3 linked regions of the Caenorhabditis elegans genome follow. The protein of the gene in region 1 purifies or fractionates together with the protein of each later gene. This does not show direct contact. Each region holds a gene or a part of one and is shown in the gene's direction. Other genes may lie near its edges.

Region 1 (5,028 bases):
AAACAATTTGATTAGAAAGTTCTAAGGTTAATTCATTTCAATTTATTTCGAAAGCCGATTTTATTTGAAATGGGTAGAAATTAATGTTTTTTAAGCGGAGATTTAGTTTTAAATCATATAAATTATGGGGTTTAGTTTATTTCAAGTAATGTTACAAACTGTATTAAAATACATGCTTTTATGTATTTTAATACAGTTGTGACGTAATTACTTGAATAACCCCATTAGTTTTTAGTTTATCGTTAATGTTTTATTATAGAAGCTGATTTAAATGTAATACTTCCTTACTAGTTACTTTTAATCATTGAATGAGTAAAATTACTTTATTTACTAATTTAAATAGTTACTAACAAATCGTGATAAGTATCTTTGCTAATAAGTTTAATTTATAAAAAATAAGAATTTGAAAGCCTCGTCTTGTTCAAAAAATAATTCCGCTGTCACTATTCATTATCACGTTAATATTTACGATATATAGACTTTTCTATATTTTTCAGATTTTCTTGAAGAAAATTTGCAAAGTTTGCGAAATATTTTAAATTCTCGTTAGTAACTTAATTAAACGATTTTTTTTTTCATTTATCGACTCAGATTAACCGAAATTATAGTTTGGGAAGAATTTCGAATGTAACTATTATTTTTGAGCTTAGAATTAAGAAATTATTATAATTAACACTAGTATAGAAAAAAATTAAGCTTCTTCACTTTTGACGTAGTAAAAATATAATTACACCACCTTTTTAAAGTTGGTGCGTTAATAATGAGTACGTTTAATAATTTAATTTAAATTCTTCGTTATTATCAAAAATATATAAACTGACATGTGAAACGTGGCTTATTTTTTTTGCTTTGTTTTTTATTTGAGCTCCTCCCATTTTTTTAAAATGAACTAATAAATTAAAATTTCAACGAAAGGAAAAATAAAAAATAAGCCACGTTTCACATGTCAGTTTATATATTTTGATAATAGAGTACAATTAAATTAAATCAATAATAATTATTATTATAGAGGACTTTTAAATATATTGAAATATAATTTCCTAGCATATTTCGAAAAAGTGTCATATTTCTCTCCGAATGCTCGTATTGTTTATAGAACACAAATTCTCGTAAACCTTTTTTTTTTGTTGCGATTTCCGCATTCCGTCCTTATTACTTCTGATTAGACTATAACTAAATTAACAATAGAATATAGAAATCCGAATATAGCTATTATTTATGAACTTACCTTGTTTAATTTCACCTTTGACGTATTATTAATAAGTTATTAAAATAATTTGCGTTCATAAATAATGTTTTTAACTCAATAAGTTAAGATTTTCATGAATAAAACAAGTGCTCCATTATAGCTTATGGGATTATTCGAGTAGTGTCGCGGAAAATTGAAAAAGTGTAGAAAAATGACATCACAGCTGCTTAATTAAAATACATAAAAACATGTATTTTAATAATTTTTTTACAACATTACTTGAATAACCCCATTAGTTAAATTACGAAAATCAGAAATCCTTTTAATCAAAAGTTATAACGAGCATGATTTAATTAACTCTATAGTTATTAATTCAGTTTATTAAATTGCCCTTTATAGTGTTTAAGAACTATGTTTTAAATTGAGAAATCGATTTTTTTTTTGGGAAAATTTAATTTATTCGTGTTTAACTCCGAATTCGTCATAGCCATAGGCTTAATTAAAATGGAATGTATCTCGAATCTATTTTAATTCTGATTCTCCTGAATATTCCTGCAAGCAATAGCTTTTTGGCCGGAAATTTTAATACGTTAAAGTTGTGCTACCAGCGTTTTCTTTCAATTTATATGGATTTTCATCGAAATTGTGCCAAATTTGTCTATTTTTCACCGAAAAATCCCTATTTTTTCTCAAATTTTCCTAGATTTTCCGCATTTCTTCTCCGATTTACTCTAAAAAATTTTCCAAATTTCAGACCCAAATTTGCGCCAACACAGAAAAAAAACAAAACCGAACAACAATTTTGCACTTTGAACGACAATTTTGAAGGAAGAATGATTGCACATTAAGAAGAAGAACATCAAAAAAAAAAAATCTCCAAACAAAATTGTCTGAAAGTGATATAAAATATGAGAAGCACCACTTTTGATAAGGTTTGTTTCGAAGGAAAAAAAATCCCAAAAAATTATCGATTTTTGCAGAACTCTGGTGCTCCTGAAGAGCCGAGACGTCCGCGTGGACCGAGAACACCTGTAAGTAGCTCGAAAAAATTTTTTTTGACCACTTCCGGGGGTCGAACCCCGGAGGTGTGGGTTCCAGTCGGGCCCCTAACCGACTGAGCAACTTGCACACCCAAAAAAAAATTTCGAAAAAAAAACTGAAATCGATTTGAAATTTTGCGTAGATTTCGAATGTGTCATCAAATTTTAGTTTGGAAAATGCTGAAAACCTCTCATTATCGAAATTTATCAGTTTTGGAGTCAAAAAAGTCTAAAAAACTTGATTGTCTAATCAAATACCCAATTTATTTTGTGATGAAACACGGAAAACACTCTACAAAAAATAATGACCACAGCTGGGGGTCGAACCCCAAACATTTGGGTGCCAGCCGGGCCACTAACCGACTGAGCCACTTTTGCACCAAAAAAAATTGTTTTTTTCAACAAAAAAAAAAGAATTCGATCTGAATTTTTCCGTAGGTTTCGAATTTGAAACCAAATTTTAGTTTTTATAAGGCCGAAAACCTCTAATTCTCGTAATTTCTCAGTTTTAGAGCAAAAAATGCCTAAAAATCGACGACTTTTGGACTTGAAAGAACATAGTTTCACCGGAAATCTCGATAGAAATACGAAGTTTTGATGTAGAAATGCCAAAAAAACTCTACAAAAATTATGAGCCACAGTGGGGGTCGAACCCCGGACGTGTGGGTGCCAGTCGGGCCCCTAACCGACTGAGCCACTTGTGCACCCAAAAAAAAATTTTTTTTTGTTGAAAAATTACCATTCGAACTGAAATTTGACGATAAATTCGAAAATTTTGTTAATTTTTGTATTTGAGAACACAGTGAAAACCCAATTTTCGACATAAAACCGCAAAAAAAAATCGATTTTTACAGGACGGAGAACCCACAGAAGCCAACGAAAGGCCGTGCTCGTCGAGCTCATCACTGAGCAATGATTCGTTTGTTCCAGCACCACAAGGACCTCAGAAGTAGGCGATTTTTTTTTGGTTTTTCGGCTGAAAATTGGCCTAAATTTTTGAAGCTGAAATTTGACCTATTTTCTGACATTTTTCTTTAGAAAATTCCAATTTTCACCCAAAAATAGCTGAAAATCTCTGGAAATTATTATTTTGAAAAAAAATTCCCCAATTTTCAGCGGACACACGAGCAGCAGCCATGACAATGATTATAGTGAATACCGCCCACGCCGTGGGCCTAAAACTCCGCCTCTTCCACCGCCGGATGAGCCTGTAAAACAGCAGCAACAGCAGCAGCCAATTGTTGCTCCATATTCCTATTATCCAACGTGAGCATTTTCTTTTTTAAAATTTCGAAAAAAAATTTTTTTTTGGTAAAAGTTTTTTTTTTGACGAAAAAACTTAAATTTTTTTTTCGTATTTTCACTGAAAATTTGAATTTTAGGCGAAAACTTGAAAAAAGTTCAAAATTATTTTTTTTGCTTTGGGGAGCAAGTGGCTCAGTCGGTTAGCGGTCCGACTGGCACCCACCCGTCCGGGGTTCGACCCCCGACAGTGGTCATTAATTTTTGTAGAGTCTTTTTTGGTGTTTCTAATGCTTTTTAAGCTCTTTTACGCAGTTTTTATACTTTTTTTCTAAAAAAATTCCAAAATTTCACTTAAATTTTGAATTTTCAAAAATTCAAAAATTCCAACAAAAAAAAATTTTTTTTCAAAAATTATTTTCCTGAAAGTATTTTAAGCACCACTCTTCCGCAATTTTCACAAATTTTTCCATAAAAAATTTGAAATTTCACGTAAATTTTGAATTTTAAGCCAATATTTTTTGGGGGTCTTCAAATTTAGAGCTCTAAAATTCCCAATGTTTTCAGATACGGCAGCTCTACAGGATATCCGTATCCGTATCCGACGATGATGATGCCACAACAAGGAATTCCTGGTAATTATTGATTTTTGCAGTACTTTAACGATTTTGGAGCATGAAAACTAGGCGTTTTTTGGTTTTTTCGGCCTGAAATTGAGCCTCTAAAACTGAGGATTTTGACACAATTCATCTAAAAATTTGAAATTTTCAGAATTTTTCTAGTTAAAACTATTGAAATTGAGCTTAAGCCCGAAAATCTAGTTGAAAAATTGACATTTTTCTCATGTTTAAGCTAAAAAACCACCGAAAATCTCAATTTTTGTCATAAATCAGTTGGAAAAATTCGCATTTCTGCGATTTTTCCCAACTTTAAAGCCCTTTACAGTCATAAAAATTGGATTATTCGACCAAAAAATTTCGAAAAATCGAAAATTTCCAGCTAACGAGCCTGAAAATCCTTAGAAAAATCCGATTTCTTCAGGCTTTTCAAGCCTAAACCTAAAGCCTAAAAAGAACCTTCAAGCCTAAAAAAAAGAGAAGCTTCCAATTTTCAGGCCCTTCCCAACATCCGGCGACACCATCCTACTACATCCAACATCCACCACCACCATCAATGTCCAACGGCGCCCCATACTATCCACACATGAATCCATCGCCGTACTATCAACCTCGTCCGAACTATGTCACTCAACCACCTGCACCCATCATTCCACCACCACAACCACCAGTGATGACTGCCTCGGCGGCTGCGGCTGCCTACCGCGATCGCCTACCTCCACCGCCTCCGAAGCCTCCGATGCCTGATCTAAGGACCAAAGAGCCAATCGGAATCCGTAGCTGGAATGGATCAGGCATCCCACCTCCGCCGATCCTTCCACCAGTTGCTTGTCTATCGTCGACGATGTCACCCGGGATGCTGAGATCCCCAGTGCCGAGAGAACGATTCAATAGTGTGGAGAGTAATGGATCTTTTAGCCTTCATCCACCACCACCAGTG
Region 2 (4,713 bases), 2.9 Mb from region 1:
GACAGGCTTGCAGAACTGCTCGAAGAGACGAAGAGAATCAAGTTCGATATTATCGGACTCTCTGAAACAAAAAGAGCAACGGAAAAGCATGCAATTGGCGCCGACGGGGTCGAGATCTTTCTAGGATCTCGAAACCCAAATTCTGTTTCAGGAGGGGTCGGCTTCATCGTCACAAGCACCTCCTCCCCCGAATCACTGAAGTAGTTTTCTCCAAAGTAACATCCATTTCAACATTAATTTGGCGAAACTAGATCAAGTGAAAAGGAGAAAACCCCCGAAAAGAGTTTTGGATAAAGCTACAGCTCTGGCTGTCAGCGCAACAATTACTGCCCCTGCTCATGGAGATATTGATGAGGACTACAAGATCCTTGTCGACTCTCTCAAAACAGCCCAGGATCAATCAGTAATTCAACCATCCATCCACTCCGCCAACCGACTCTCGGAGGAAACTCGACAAATGCTCTTCAAAAGACGTCTTATGGACAGATCAGACCCAAATTTTAAGTAACTATCTATAAAATGTAGGGAAGCAGTCGAGAGAGACCATGAGAACTTTGCCAGTGCCCGCCTGCTAAAAAAAACTGAGTGACAACTGGGTGACAACTGAGTGATTTTTTTGAATCCTTATACTAGAAGGCCGAAGTAGCTAATAATTGAATGCTTTTATACACTCACGGTTCACTATAAGTCACGCATATAAAACTTACAAAAAATCGTAAATTGACAAAATAAGTCAATAGTAAATTATTTGCCGACCTAATATTACATTTCAAAATGTTGGCAAGTAACATCTCGGGTATTACACTCTCGTGGGAATCTCCAAAATGTTTCCATAGTTACTCACTCCATTACACTTTCAAAAAATCATAAACTGAACCAACTCTTCTCTCTCCACTTGCTCACACGCATGAATGTTTAGTTTTCAGAAGAAAGGTCAGGTCACTTGCCATCCAGATACGGTGGATTTTTAACAGCTCGCGCGTCCGTATGCTAGTCTTACATCTATCGATTCGTATATGCATATTTTTGTGTTAATTAGTTTTGTCAGGTTTTTCAAAACTGACTCTTGTGACAATTAGTTTCTGTTTCCATAGTTACTCACTCGTTAAACTTTCCAGAAATCATAACCCATAAAATATGACAAGTTATGTTAATTTTCTCTGTGGGTCTCGTCCTGATATCTAGCAGATTTCATCATTTGAAGCAATTAAAAATCTAAAATTTCTGATTTGATTAACACTTATTTTTCTTGAGCCAGAACTCAAAAACGGGATTTTATTTAAAAATTTGACTTTTTGCAATCTTTTAAAAATGGACATTTTCAAGAAACTTTCCAAGAAATTTTCAATTTTTGGCCTCTGATTTGAAAGTATGTAGAGACTTTTTTCTTCTGCTCAATTTTTTTTCTAGTTACCATAACCCTATTTTGAAATCAGTTATCTAAAACACTAGATGCACCCATGTGTTGTCCTCTTCTCTTTCCTCTTCATGTGTCTTTCCATCTCTACGTCTCAATCTCTAACACACTCTCTCCATCTCCCCCTCTCGAGATGTTGCGAACTACGCTAGTTGCCTTATAATTTTGAATGTGAGATTTTCCCGCGCTCATTTTGATTAATTCTTTTTTTATTTGCTTTCAAGATTAAATTCAATTTCAGAGAAAAAAAACAAGAGCCACTGGTAAATGAGAAGTTTTGGTTTCCGGGGATCCCGATTCCCAAATCACATTTAATCACTTCCTCTGCATATTTATTCAAAAAGTGAGTTTTTATGTTTTAAAATATTGTGAATAATTTTTATCAAAATTAAAATATAATACTTGAAGTGAAAAAAAACGGAAAAATATTATTTAAATGTGAAATAAAAATCTTGAAAGTAAAAATTCGAAAAGTTCTGAAATTTTCAAATTTTATCGCTCATTTCTAGTCATATCAAAACGTTATCAACTACAAAAAATTAGACAATAATATTATACAATTTTTTTAGTTGAAACTTTTTGATATCTTGTGAAACAAGCGAGACATAAGCTGTCAAAGTTTAAAAATCTTAAAATTTAATTTTCAGAGCATTAGAAATGTCTGACGAACCACCAATAGTGCTCCCAACTGAAGAAGATGGCCCATTCTCCAACTGTGTATCGATTGCATTTGTCAATGACAAGAGCATACCCGTGGAGCTACGAATTCGAAAAGCTATTCGTGGAAAAGTCACGTTCACTCAGGAACTTGTAGTCGCTGCACGTAGATTGTACCTGGATGGAGAGTTAGAAAGACCTGATCTCAGTGAGTTTATTTTTGTTGAAAAAAACTGATAGAAACAAAATAGAAATAGCATTCGATTCTACAAAAGCTGAATGAAAATATACATAAAATATTAAATTATTTTACACCTAATTTTTTTTTGAAAAAGTCGTCAACTGAAGTCATTTTTTAACACAAATAATATTCAAAAATATTCATTAAAACCGCAACAAGAAAACGCACTCTAGGAAAGCGACAGAAAAGGCAATTAAAATCCCTCGCCCAGATGGAAGCTGTTAAATAATTATCTCAAAATATGCAAATTTTTTGGTAAACATTTACATATTTTTCATTTTTAAAATTTCAAATAAAGTGTTTTTAATGGTTTAAAGTTGAAATTCCAATTTTTTAAATGTAAAATGTCAACTAAAAAAGACATTAAAATCCAAAAAATACATAAAAATATATAGAAAATGTGTTAATATTATGACAACTAATTGGAATCGTGCGAGGGCGAGTAAAGGGGCGATTACGATGCAACATGCATCATACATTCTAAATTTAATTTATTTCAGACTACCACGTTGCCGCCGACTTCTATGATCCATTTATGATCCCGGTACCAGATCACCGTAATTGGGAGTATAACCCTTTATATCCTCGGGAGTGGCGTAAGCTCAATATTTCTTTGGTTCTCCCTAGAAAAATAAATTTTCAGCTAGACTAATTGATAGAGATCTCGTCCAAAAGATCAAGATGTCCAATACGTACAAAAAGAACCAGGCGAGAAGGAAAAGACGACGACTATTAAGAATCTTCCATAGGAAACGAGGTGGAGAGTTTTTGAACTATTTATGGCATTCGAAGGAGAATGTGAGTTAACTTTTTTTTTAACTAAAAAATTTGAAAAACCTCTTAATCTTCCAGGACGTGCACTACAAACGGTATATGGCCGCCTATCAATTTCCTCTTCCATTCGAGAAATGTATCAGGGATGTAGTGAGAGAAGAGCTTAAAGATCCCGAAACATCATTTTCTAAACCACCATCAGTGGTACATCATTCGAAGATTCGACCAGCCACGCCTGATTTGTTAAAGTTGGCGAAATATCTTGGAAAGGATCGGTTTTGCTTTATTGTGACACCATTTAAATTTCGATCTCAATTCCGTTTACGTTACTACAAGAAATCTCCATTCAAACGTTCAAATATTCTTGAGAAATGGTTAAAGTTCAAAAAAGGTAAGGTTCTGATTTTTGCTTATTAATTAACTTTATCAAATTTTGTAAAATATCACACTTATAGTTAGCATGTTTTTCTTTCAATAATTTCAAATACTGTGAAAAACAAATTTCAATGCTGTAAAAATATGTTGCTCCCCAAAGTAAACTTGAGATCTAACTTCATACATGTTTTAGTGAGAGATCAAGGTGTGTTCAACATTCGAGATGCCGCTCGTGAAGTGAAGAAGCTACTTCAAAGGAAAAACGTCTACCATATGACAGACCCGCAATGTGAGCAGGAGTTCTGGGATGTATACAGACTTCAAATGCAATGGCGTAAGTTTTTGAGCACTTTTTAAAATTACGGCCTGTTTAGAGATTAAAAAATTTTGTGAATATATTATTCAATTTCAAATTTTTTCTTTTTCCCATTCTATTTCGCGGTTTCGGTATCAAACTTATTATAAGAGTGTTTAGGAATAGGCAACGATTTTAGAAACTTTCTGGAACAATTTAATTTTCTGAAAAATTTAAAATTAAAACAATTTCTGGAAAAACTACCCGGATTTGTTTGTCAAAGTTTTGGTAAATTGACAAAACTTCCCATTGACACAGCACCATGTTCAAAACTTTTAATAAAAAGTTATAATATTTTAAGTGGAAGAAGACAACATCGAGGAAAACATCACGATGCTTCGAGAAAATTTATCAAAAGTGACAGACGAGGAATTCAATAGATCCGTGTATATTATGAGACCAGAGAATCGAGCATCTATCCACGACGACGTCACATTCACCACCGATGCCGAAATCAATCTGAAGCCAATTGTTCTGGAACTTTTTCGAAATAATATGCCACTCGAAGATATCAGACAGGTTAAGGAATGTATTGACGACATGATTAACTTGACTGTCTGCCAAGAACTTATACCTCAAGTTGCTACAATTGAGACTGTTCGTGATTATTCTGGAGTTGAACAACATCGTTTAAAGTATATTCGCCCAGAAAATGAGCTGGAGATAATGTTCCAATTAGCTACCGTTCTTGTAAAAAACGAGAATACTCATGATCAAGAAATCACTTCTCCAATGTTTGCACTGCTTCGAACAGAACAATATTTGTGGTCAATTCCACTTCGACCATTTCTTCGAATGTACACTGACTGGAGGAAAACTAAACTTAATTTCAAAAAGTTTAGAAAATTCTCCCCGGAATTAGTCTCCAAAGCACCAATTGACTTATTCAAAGTG
Region 3 (7,912 bases), on another chromosome or scaffold:
AATGGCCATTGACTGTAGTCACTAATAATATCATTCCGACATAAAAATAATCAATTTATCACTTAGTACATACTCAATAATGATAATTTCTTTTCAGGAAACCTCCCCAGAAGGCAAATTTGTCATTTTGGAAAACACACACAGAGCCAAAGAAGAGCCACTCGGAGACTGGAAGCTTAAGAGAAAGATCGACGGAAAACGCGAGATCGTCTTCACCTTCCCATCCGACTACATCCTCCACCCATTCCAATCTGTCAAGGTTTGCGAATTTCTACTTCTTTCAGAAACAAGCCTAGCTACCCAGGACCTGTCGCGTATAAAACATTTCAAATTGGTGTCTCAGAATGAAATGTGTTGTTGTCTCTGTGTGTGTGTGTCGAATTGATAATCTAATGCGCGATTGCGTTTGGGTGTGGCAAGGTCATCCGTCCGTAATGACTAAAGGGGGGGTAACTTTGCTTCGAAAAAGAAAGATTGGGGATGTATGTAGGAGAAAAAGAAGGAATAAAAAGTGATAAACAAATTGATGGAAACTGTGAAGACAAACGTTGTTCACAGAAATCAATAAAAGGGACAGATGAGATGTGAGATTATTTAGGTCAGCTTTGAAAAAAAATGTTTTCAAATAAGGTTTGAATAAGAAATGAATTTGAAAGAAGCAATTATTTATTTAAAAGGTGGAGTAGCGCCAGTGGGGATTTTGTCTAAATGCACTTATAATGATCCAAAACAACCGAATATCATAATAAAACACTCCAAAATTTTTTTTAGATTTTTCATAATTTCCGGTCAAAGTTTTGGCAAATTCCCAAAAAATTTTAAAATACTAGCTTTTGAGGAAATTCAAAGAAATGTCGCATGTTTCGACCCCTACAATGTTTTAATACAAACAAAATTAAAACATAAAAAATGTCGAAAAAAAATTTTTTTTTTGATCGACTTCCAAAATTATGAGTGGCAAAAACTGAGTAATTGCCACTTTTTGACAGTAAATAAAAAATTTAAAAATTTTTTTTGAAAAGTTTTATCAAGATGTTTGGTCATTTTTGGACCAAAGGAGTGGTTTTTAACAATTTCCCGACTGGCGCTACTCCACCTTCAATCAATTTCATACAAAACATTTTTCATAAAAAAAAAAGAAATTCAAGTGAGGTGTTTTAACATTAAAAAAACCACTGTAAAGACAAATTTCTACATTTCCAGATCTTCGCCCGCGGACAAGGAATCGCCAATCCTCCAGAAGTGCTCATTTTCGAAGGTGACGAAACATTCGGTGTTGGCGCCAACGTTCAAACAATCCTTTACAACAATAAGGGAGAGGTAATTCAACCCCCAAAAATTTACGTGCAGAATAAAATGTTATTTTTTTCTTTGCAGGAGCGCGCGACACACATCCAACGTCAAAGCCAACAAACGACATCTTCCTAAATCTAGCTTTTTGCTTGAGCTATTTACTGTTTTCTTCTCTTTGTACCAGAAATCTGAACCCCAACTCTTTGCTGCCTGCCTGTTTGCATTTTTTCCGTTTGCTATATACTTTTTCACTTTTTTGTTTCTTTTTCCTCCGGTAACTTACTCATTTTCAACAATAAATACTTTATACAGATCAAAAAATTGCCATATGGAATGTTCATTTTTCATTTGAAACATTGATAGGAAAAGTAAGGTGGGGAAATATTAAAGGTGATAACGTGATCAAGAGCAAATAAGAAAGTCAGACGAATGGCTCGGTGAGCCGTGATAAGAAGACAAGGTCCAACCCAGCGATTCTAATCAGTTAACACGAGACAAGATACATCGAAAACCCACATTCGACCTGGTGGCGGTTATTCTAAATACGAGAGCATTACTGTGACAATGGGCAGCATGTATTATAATGGTGAGTCAAAGATTAAACCTGGCTGGTTCTGTGAAATGTTTGTATTTGTTTTAAGAAATTCAAAATCTGAAATGTCTTAAAAGTCTCAATTTTTTTAAATGGCTGATAAAATTTTGAAAACCTAGCTCTTCCAGATAAAACCTAGATTTCTGCCAACATGTCACAGTTGCGGCGGTCTGAAAACATTAGTTGATGGGTGCAAAAAATACTTCTTACTCCTGAAAACAACTTAATCAACGAAAAAAGTCATAACAATAAATATATTCATTAAAAATACATAGAAAAACAGAACATTCAATAAAATTTAATAAAAATCAATTTTGGGTAACTATGACAAACATAGGTTGACAAGTTAAAAATGTAGTTTTTTGTATTTTTTATTTTTTTCAGAAATAAAAATAAATTAAATTCGATATTTTGGGGTCATTTTGACCCAATTAAAAAATTAATCCAAATTTCGCTACTACACCTGTGAGAAGTTATCATAAATTTTTTTTAAAATGTGCTTTAAATGTGGAGTAGCGCCAGTGGGGGAAATTGTCAAAAACCACGCCTATGGTCTCAAATTAATGGAATATCAAAATAAAACTATTCAAAAAATTTTTGAAATTTTTTTTTTACTCTCAAAAAGTGACAATTATTTAGTTTTTACTCAAAATTTTGGAAGTCGTCCGAAAAAAAAAAGTTTTTCTACATTGTTTATACTGTGACTGTGTTTTAATTATTCACATTTAAACATTGTAGGGGTCTAAACATGCGGCCATGCTTCGGATTTCCTCACAAGCTCATATTTTTCGAAATTTGGCCATTTGCCAAAACTTTGACCGGAAATTATGAAAAGTCTAAAATTTTTGCAGTTTTTTATTATGATATTCTGTCGTTTTGGATCATAATAAGAGCATTTAGACAAAATCCCCATTGGCGCTACTTCACCTTTAAAATGCAGATAGATCATTAACTCAAACATAAACTTACTAGTTTTGAATTTTCATTATGAATTTAGATGTTTTTTAACAAACCTATAAATGCTCACAGGAAAATACAATGCATTAGGTTTTCCAAGAAATTATAATATAATGAACTCTTTCTGAAACATACTTCAGTCTTCATGATTTCAAAATCAAATTTTCCAATTCTGACATAAAATAATCCACTGGTCAAACGTAATGATTTGATAACGCATTTCTGTTTGACAGCTTAATTTTCATTTGAACTTTCATTTTCTGAAATCAAAACTGAATACGTTTTTTCAATTTATTACGTTTTACTTGTGTAGTATTAGAACTACAAAAAAGGTTTGCAATGGATTAAAATAATTATTTTTTATCATTGTGCCTATTTTGAGAGTTTCAAATAATTATTTTTATGCTTGAAAAAATAAAAAAATAGACATTTTCATTCATCTAATTTTTGAAATTAATTTATAAATTATTAATGGTTTAAATTTTTTCTTTAACGTATCTATATCATCTTGAAATATACCTCTTAACAATCTATTTACTTTGCATGCTTCTTTTTATGATTTCTATGATTCTTTCAAAATGCAAATAATGACGTCACTTTCTGCATCAACCGGAAGAAATTATGATGATGATATTTTTTTTTCCTTCTCTAGAAGTTTTTTACCCTTTCATTACCTCTAATGGAGTTGAGAAACCAGAGCCATACTACCTTTTCCAATTTTCTTTTCAACATAAGTTTCATGTCAAAAAGTGCTTATGCAGTATTGATAAGTGTAGTGAAACTCTCTCAAAGGACTGATAAGGCCGAAGAAAAAGTCATGATCTGCTTCCCGGAAATAGCAATCGATTTTTATTGACGAGTTTTAGTTATGCTCATTAATTTATTTTTTTATTGATATCGATAAATGTTTTAATATAATTTAATTTTGAATATTTCAGAGTCGAGAATGGTGAGGAAAGATGAGGTGACATGCAATGTTATTATAGGAGATGATAAGAAAACTGTGGTAAGTTAGAGAGCATTAAGATTAATTTAAAGAGTTTTAAAAATAAATATTATCTCATTTTTTGTCCGTAAAGTATAATGTGATGCAGGGATAGGCGGAAAAAAATTTTGTCGACAAATTCGGCAAATCGTCAAATTGCCGGTTTTCCCGATTTGCCGGAGATTTTCAATTCCGACAATTTACCGGTTTGCCGAGTTGCCGGAAATTTTCTTTTTTGGCAAATTGTCGGTTTTCCGTCTGCCGGATATCAAGTTTGCCGGAAATGTCTAGAGGGATTTTTATAAGACGGAAACACATGAAAATTGGCCCTTTTTGAAACTTTTTCCCGTTTTCTTTAGCTATTTACATAGAAGTTGTTCAATTTTCAAAATATATGTTGGAACATGCGTACAATTTTTCCGATTAAAATTGAAATTCTGAAATTTTTTAAAAATGTGCAAAACCACAATTTGCCAAACATTTTTGGCAATTGTCGTTTTTCCGGCAAGTTCGGCAAATCGGCAATTTGCACGTTTTCAATTCCGGCAACTTGCAATTTATAGATTTACCGTGTTCACTTTTGAGATTTGTGTGTTCCACAAGAAATATTTTAAAGTTTACACGTTCAGTTTCAATTATAAAACATTTTTCCTGAAGACTACACGGCGAGTAACTATAATAGAAAATTACAAATTTGTCACACATGCCCAAATCAGAAATATTTTTTTAAATACACTTGACGAGTTTTCAAATAAAATTATATTTTCAGGTTTACGCGCTCCGTATCGGAAATGGCCCAATTATGCAAAAAACGTTTGAAGAATATGAAAGATTTTTTACAACTGTCAGTTTTTTCAAGTTTTTATTTTCCAACTTTTTATTGACTTTCAGGAAAAGGATATGATCCCGGCTACAATTTTCACTGCGCCGAAAAAGAAGTTCCTGCAAGCTGACAGCAAGTTCTACGAGAAAAGACGTGTTTGGATCCTTGTGATTAGTCAGCATCTTGTTGATAATAATTTAAGAAGGTAATGAGATTAATTTATGTTGGATAGTTTATAATTCTTTGATTACAATGATTACAGTGAGGATGTCCGTCGGTTCTTCCATCTCGAAAGTCCGGATGATGATGAGAATAATGTTGATCTCGGACCAAGTGAGAGGAAAACGTATGTTTTGGCCATAAGGATTTGCGGTAAATCGCCAAAGTTGCACATATTGAAGTAGAGCTCCCAGCTGAGTGATGCGCAAAATGCGGACCTCACCCCGACGCCACCGTGTGTTTGCAATGAAGTTCGAAATGTAGTTATTTGGAGCGTCCGACATGTTCGGGGTTCCGCAGCTTGGTCGTGAAATAAGTAGCTTGGTGTGTGCGCAACGTAGTGTGAAGAGATGGTTGTTTGGAAGCGGCCGACACGTTCGGGGTTCCGCGCAACATTATACATTCGCATACATCCGTCTTGCGCGACGACCTCATGGGAGACCTATATTAAATACTTTTGATTTTTTTCCCCGAACGTTTGCAATGAGCTTCTAATTTTGTTTCATCTGCTCTTAAAATAGCTACGTTACCAAGTTTTTGAAATTTTTCCAATCTTTGAAACAAGACATCCATTTTTGATTCGTTCCAAAATAGGAAGTGTTGCTTATTTTCCGAAAATTTTGGCTTTCCCATCTCATGTTGACCTATTTTTGTCGACTCAAAATTTTTCGACCAACAGTATAATTTTTATGGAAATTTTAGAAACCAGAGTTTCATATATACGTTGCAAGACTTTTTGCCTCTAGCAGTTTATTTTCAGAGCCACCGCCAATGATTTCGATTATCTGACAACTATCGGAAAAGGAAGCTTTGGAAGAGTTTACCAAGTCAGGCACAAGGAGACCAAAAAAATCTACGCCATGAAAATTCTGTCCAAGGAACATATCAGAAAAAAGAACGAGGTATTGATTAGTGTTACAAGTTTTTGGAACATAAGTAGCAAATACGTTTTTAAGGTGAAACACGTCATGGCAGAAAGAAATGTGCTCATTAACAACTTTAAGCACCCTTTCCTTGTTTCACTTCACTTTTCGTTCCAAAATAAGGAGAAGCTGTATTTTGTGCTCGATCACTTGAACGGAGGAGAGGTACCTATTCCATGTGTTTAGATTAATATAGGGAAGAATGGACTCGATAGAAAACTTATAAAACTTTCAAAATGTGGCATTTCAGCTTTTCTCTCACCTCCAACGCGAGAAACATTTTTCCGAGTCGAGAAGTCGTTTTTACGCGGCCGAGATTGCATGTGCTCTGGGTTATCTTCACGAGAAAAACATTATCTACAGGTAGCGATTTACTTGCTTTCAAAAAAAGAAACCTCTAAATTGGTTTGGCAATATGCAAATATAAATTTACATTCCAGAGATTTGAAGCCTGAAAACCTTCTGTTGGACGATAAAGGTTACTTGGTGCTCACCGACTTTGGGCTCTGTAAAGAAGATATGCAAGGAAGCAAGACAACTTCCACATTTTGTGGGACGCCGGAGTACTTGGCCCCGGAAATTATTCTGAAAAAGCCTTACGACAAGACTGTTGACTGGTGGTGTTTGGGATCGGTTCTCTATGAAATGATTTTTGGATTGGTAAGGATTGCCGAGTTGGCATAAACTTGAAATACACAATCTGAAATATTATAGCTGGTTTATTAAAAAATATGATGACTAGTTTTATAATTAGTAGTTACAACTGCAATTTTCTTCCGCTTTTCGTAGAGCTTAGCGCAATAGAACTCTGCCGACTTTTGTTCCAATGACCTTCTCTAAAAGTTTTACATAACCTATTTACCATATTTTTTCTATTAGTACAGCCCTGATGTGTAATTCAGACTAGAAACTTAAAATTGCTTCTTCTTTTGCTTCTTCTTTTTGTTCTGTGATTTTCCCAAAACCACAGAACACAAAATATTACATAGTTCAAGCTAAAATTGCTGATTTGATTTATTTCCCTGACATAACTTTCTTAATCTGCTCCCCCCCCCCCCAAAAAAGAGCAATCATTTCAGCCTCCATTCTACTCAAAAGATCATAACGAGATGTACGACAAGATCATCAACCAGCCACTTCGTCTCAAGCACAACATCTCTGTGCCATGCAGTGAGCTCATCACCGGGCTCTTGCAAAAAGACCGTTCAAAGCGTCTGGGCCATCGCAATGATTTCCGTGACATTCGTGATCATCCATTCTTCCTTCCGGTTGATTGGGATAAGCTTCTGAATCGTGAGCTTAAGGCTCCGTTCATTCCGAAAGTGAAAAACGCAATGGATACATCCAATATTTCAAAGGAGTTCGTGGAGATTCAAATTGATCCATGTAAGATATATGTACAATAATTGGCATAATTAAGGATGGTTGGGGATAGAACTGGCATATTTCCGGTCATCGCGTCCGGTTTTGGAATTTTGAGAATTTTCCGAAGGTAGTTTTTCACGGCGGCCGACAATTTCCGAGTTTAGCCACTCATTATCGAATTATGTATATGATTAAGTATAGTGAGTGGCCAAACTCGGAAATTGTCGGCCGCCGTGAAAACTACTTTTTCTGAAAATTTTTTAAAATTCCAAAACCGGACCCCAAATATGCCAGCCCTAGTTGGGGAGAAGGGTTGGTTCCAATAAGAATGTAAAAATTTGTAGTAACTAATCTTAGTTCAACGCTCTATTCAAAGTGACATCTAATATGTAGTAAGACCAAATCTTGTAATGAGAGGTCTTCAAAAATTTCATTTTTCTTCAAAAACTTCCTTTTTCTGTACGGTTTCTTTTCAAAATCAAAAAGAACAGTCTCAATATACCGAAAATGACTGCGAAAAAATTTGAAACATTTTTTTCATTTTTTTAAAAACTGTTTTCAAACTTTCCAAAACTTTTTAAAAAGCCTCATTTTTCAAGCCCACGTCTTTTGATTCCTTTTGTTTCTCGGCAAAGTTTATTAGTTTCTTTTTCGGTTTTTGATCTCATTAAAATGTCTAATTTTAATAGAAGCCCAAATAAAATATTAAGATGAAATGAGCTGAGGAAAAAAGTAAGAGATGCCGTATTTGCCTG

Evidence for each region. Proteins that work in one complex are often made in the same cells at the same time.
Region 2: the proteins of dpy-21 (region 1) and sdc-3 purify together in Caenorhabditis elegans (affinity purification with western blotting, with the first as the bait; one study listed by BioGRID). This does not show direct contact.
Region 3: the proteins of dpy-21 (region 1) and sgk-1 purify together in Caenorhabditis elegans (affinity purification with western blotting, with the first as the bait; one study listed by BioGRID). This does not show direct contact.

What each region holds. Positions count from the first base shown.
Region 1 is NC_003283.11:17,946,098-17,951,125, reverse strand, and holds the start of dpy-21 (Lysine-specific demethylase 9), read left to right. Parts: upstream 1-1,932; 5' UTR 1,933-2,097; coding exon 2,098-2,121; intron 2,122-2,169; coding exon 2,170-2,220; intron 2,221-3,083; coding exon 3,084-3,178; intron 3,179-3,345; coding exon 3,346-3,495; intron 3,496-4,038; coding exon 4,039-4,106; intron 4,107-4,585; coding exon 4,586-5,028. UniProt on the Caenorhabditis elegans protein: Histone demethylase that specifically demethylates dimethylated 'Lys-20' of histone H4 (H4K20me2), thereby modulating the chromosome architecture. Promotes chromatin compaction by converting H4k20me2 to H4K20me1 leading to transcriptional repression.
Region 2 is NC_003283.11:15,045,153-15,049,865, reverse strand, and holds the start of sdc-3 (Zinc finger protein sdc-3), read left to right. Parts: upstream 1-1,658; 5' UTR 1,659-1,760; intron 1,761-2,064; 5' UTR 2,065-2,074; coding exon 2,075-2,282; intron 2,283-2,815; coding exon 2,816-2,911; intron 2,912-2,958; coding exon 2,959-3,113; intron 3,114-3,167; coding exon 3,168-3,480; intron 3,481-3,657; coding exon 3,658-3,798; intron 3,799-4,120; coding exon 4,121-4,713. UniProt on the Caenorhabditis elegans protein: Component of the SDC complex that functions in sex determination and in X chromosome dosage compensation specifically in hermaphrodite (XX) animals.
Region 3 is NC_003284.9:16,255,997-16,263,908, reverse strand, and holds the start of sgk-1 (Serine/threonine-protein kinase sgk-1), read left to right. Parts: upstream 1-1,857; coding exon 1,858-1,879; intron 1,880-3,780; coding exon 3,781-3,848; intron 3,849-4,596; coding exon 4,597-4,671; intron 4,672-4,718; coding exon 4,719-4,855; intron 4,856-4,912; coding exon 4,913-4,996; intron 4,997-5,629; coding exon 5,630-5,771; intron 5,772-5,825; coding exon 5,826-5,957; intron 5,958-6,042; coding exon 6,043-6,155; intron 6,156-6,232; coding exon 6,233-6,452; intron 6,453-6,871; coding exon 6,872-7,178; intron 7,179-7,912. Other genes in the region: mua-6 (Intermediate filament protein ifa-2), read left to right, coding at 98-259, 1,204-1,320, 1,378-1,428. UniProt on the Caenorhabditis elegans protein: Acts downstream of PI3 kinase age-1 and kinase pdk-1 in the daf-2/insulin receptor-like transduction pathway. Essential role in regulating development, stress response, and longevity.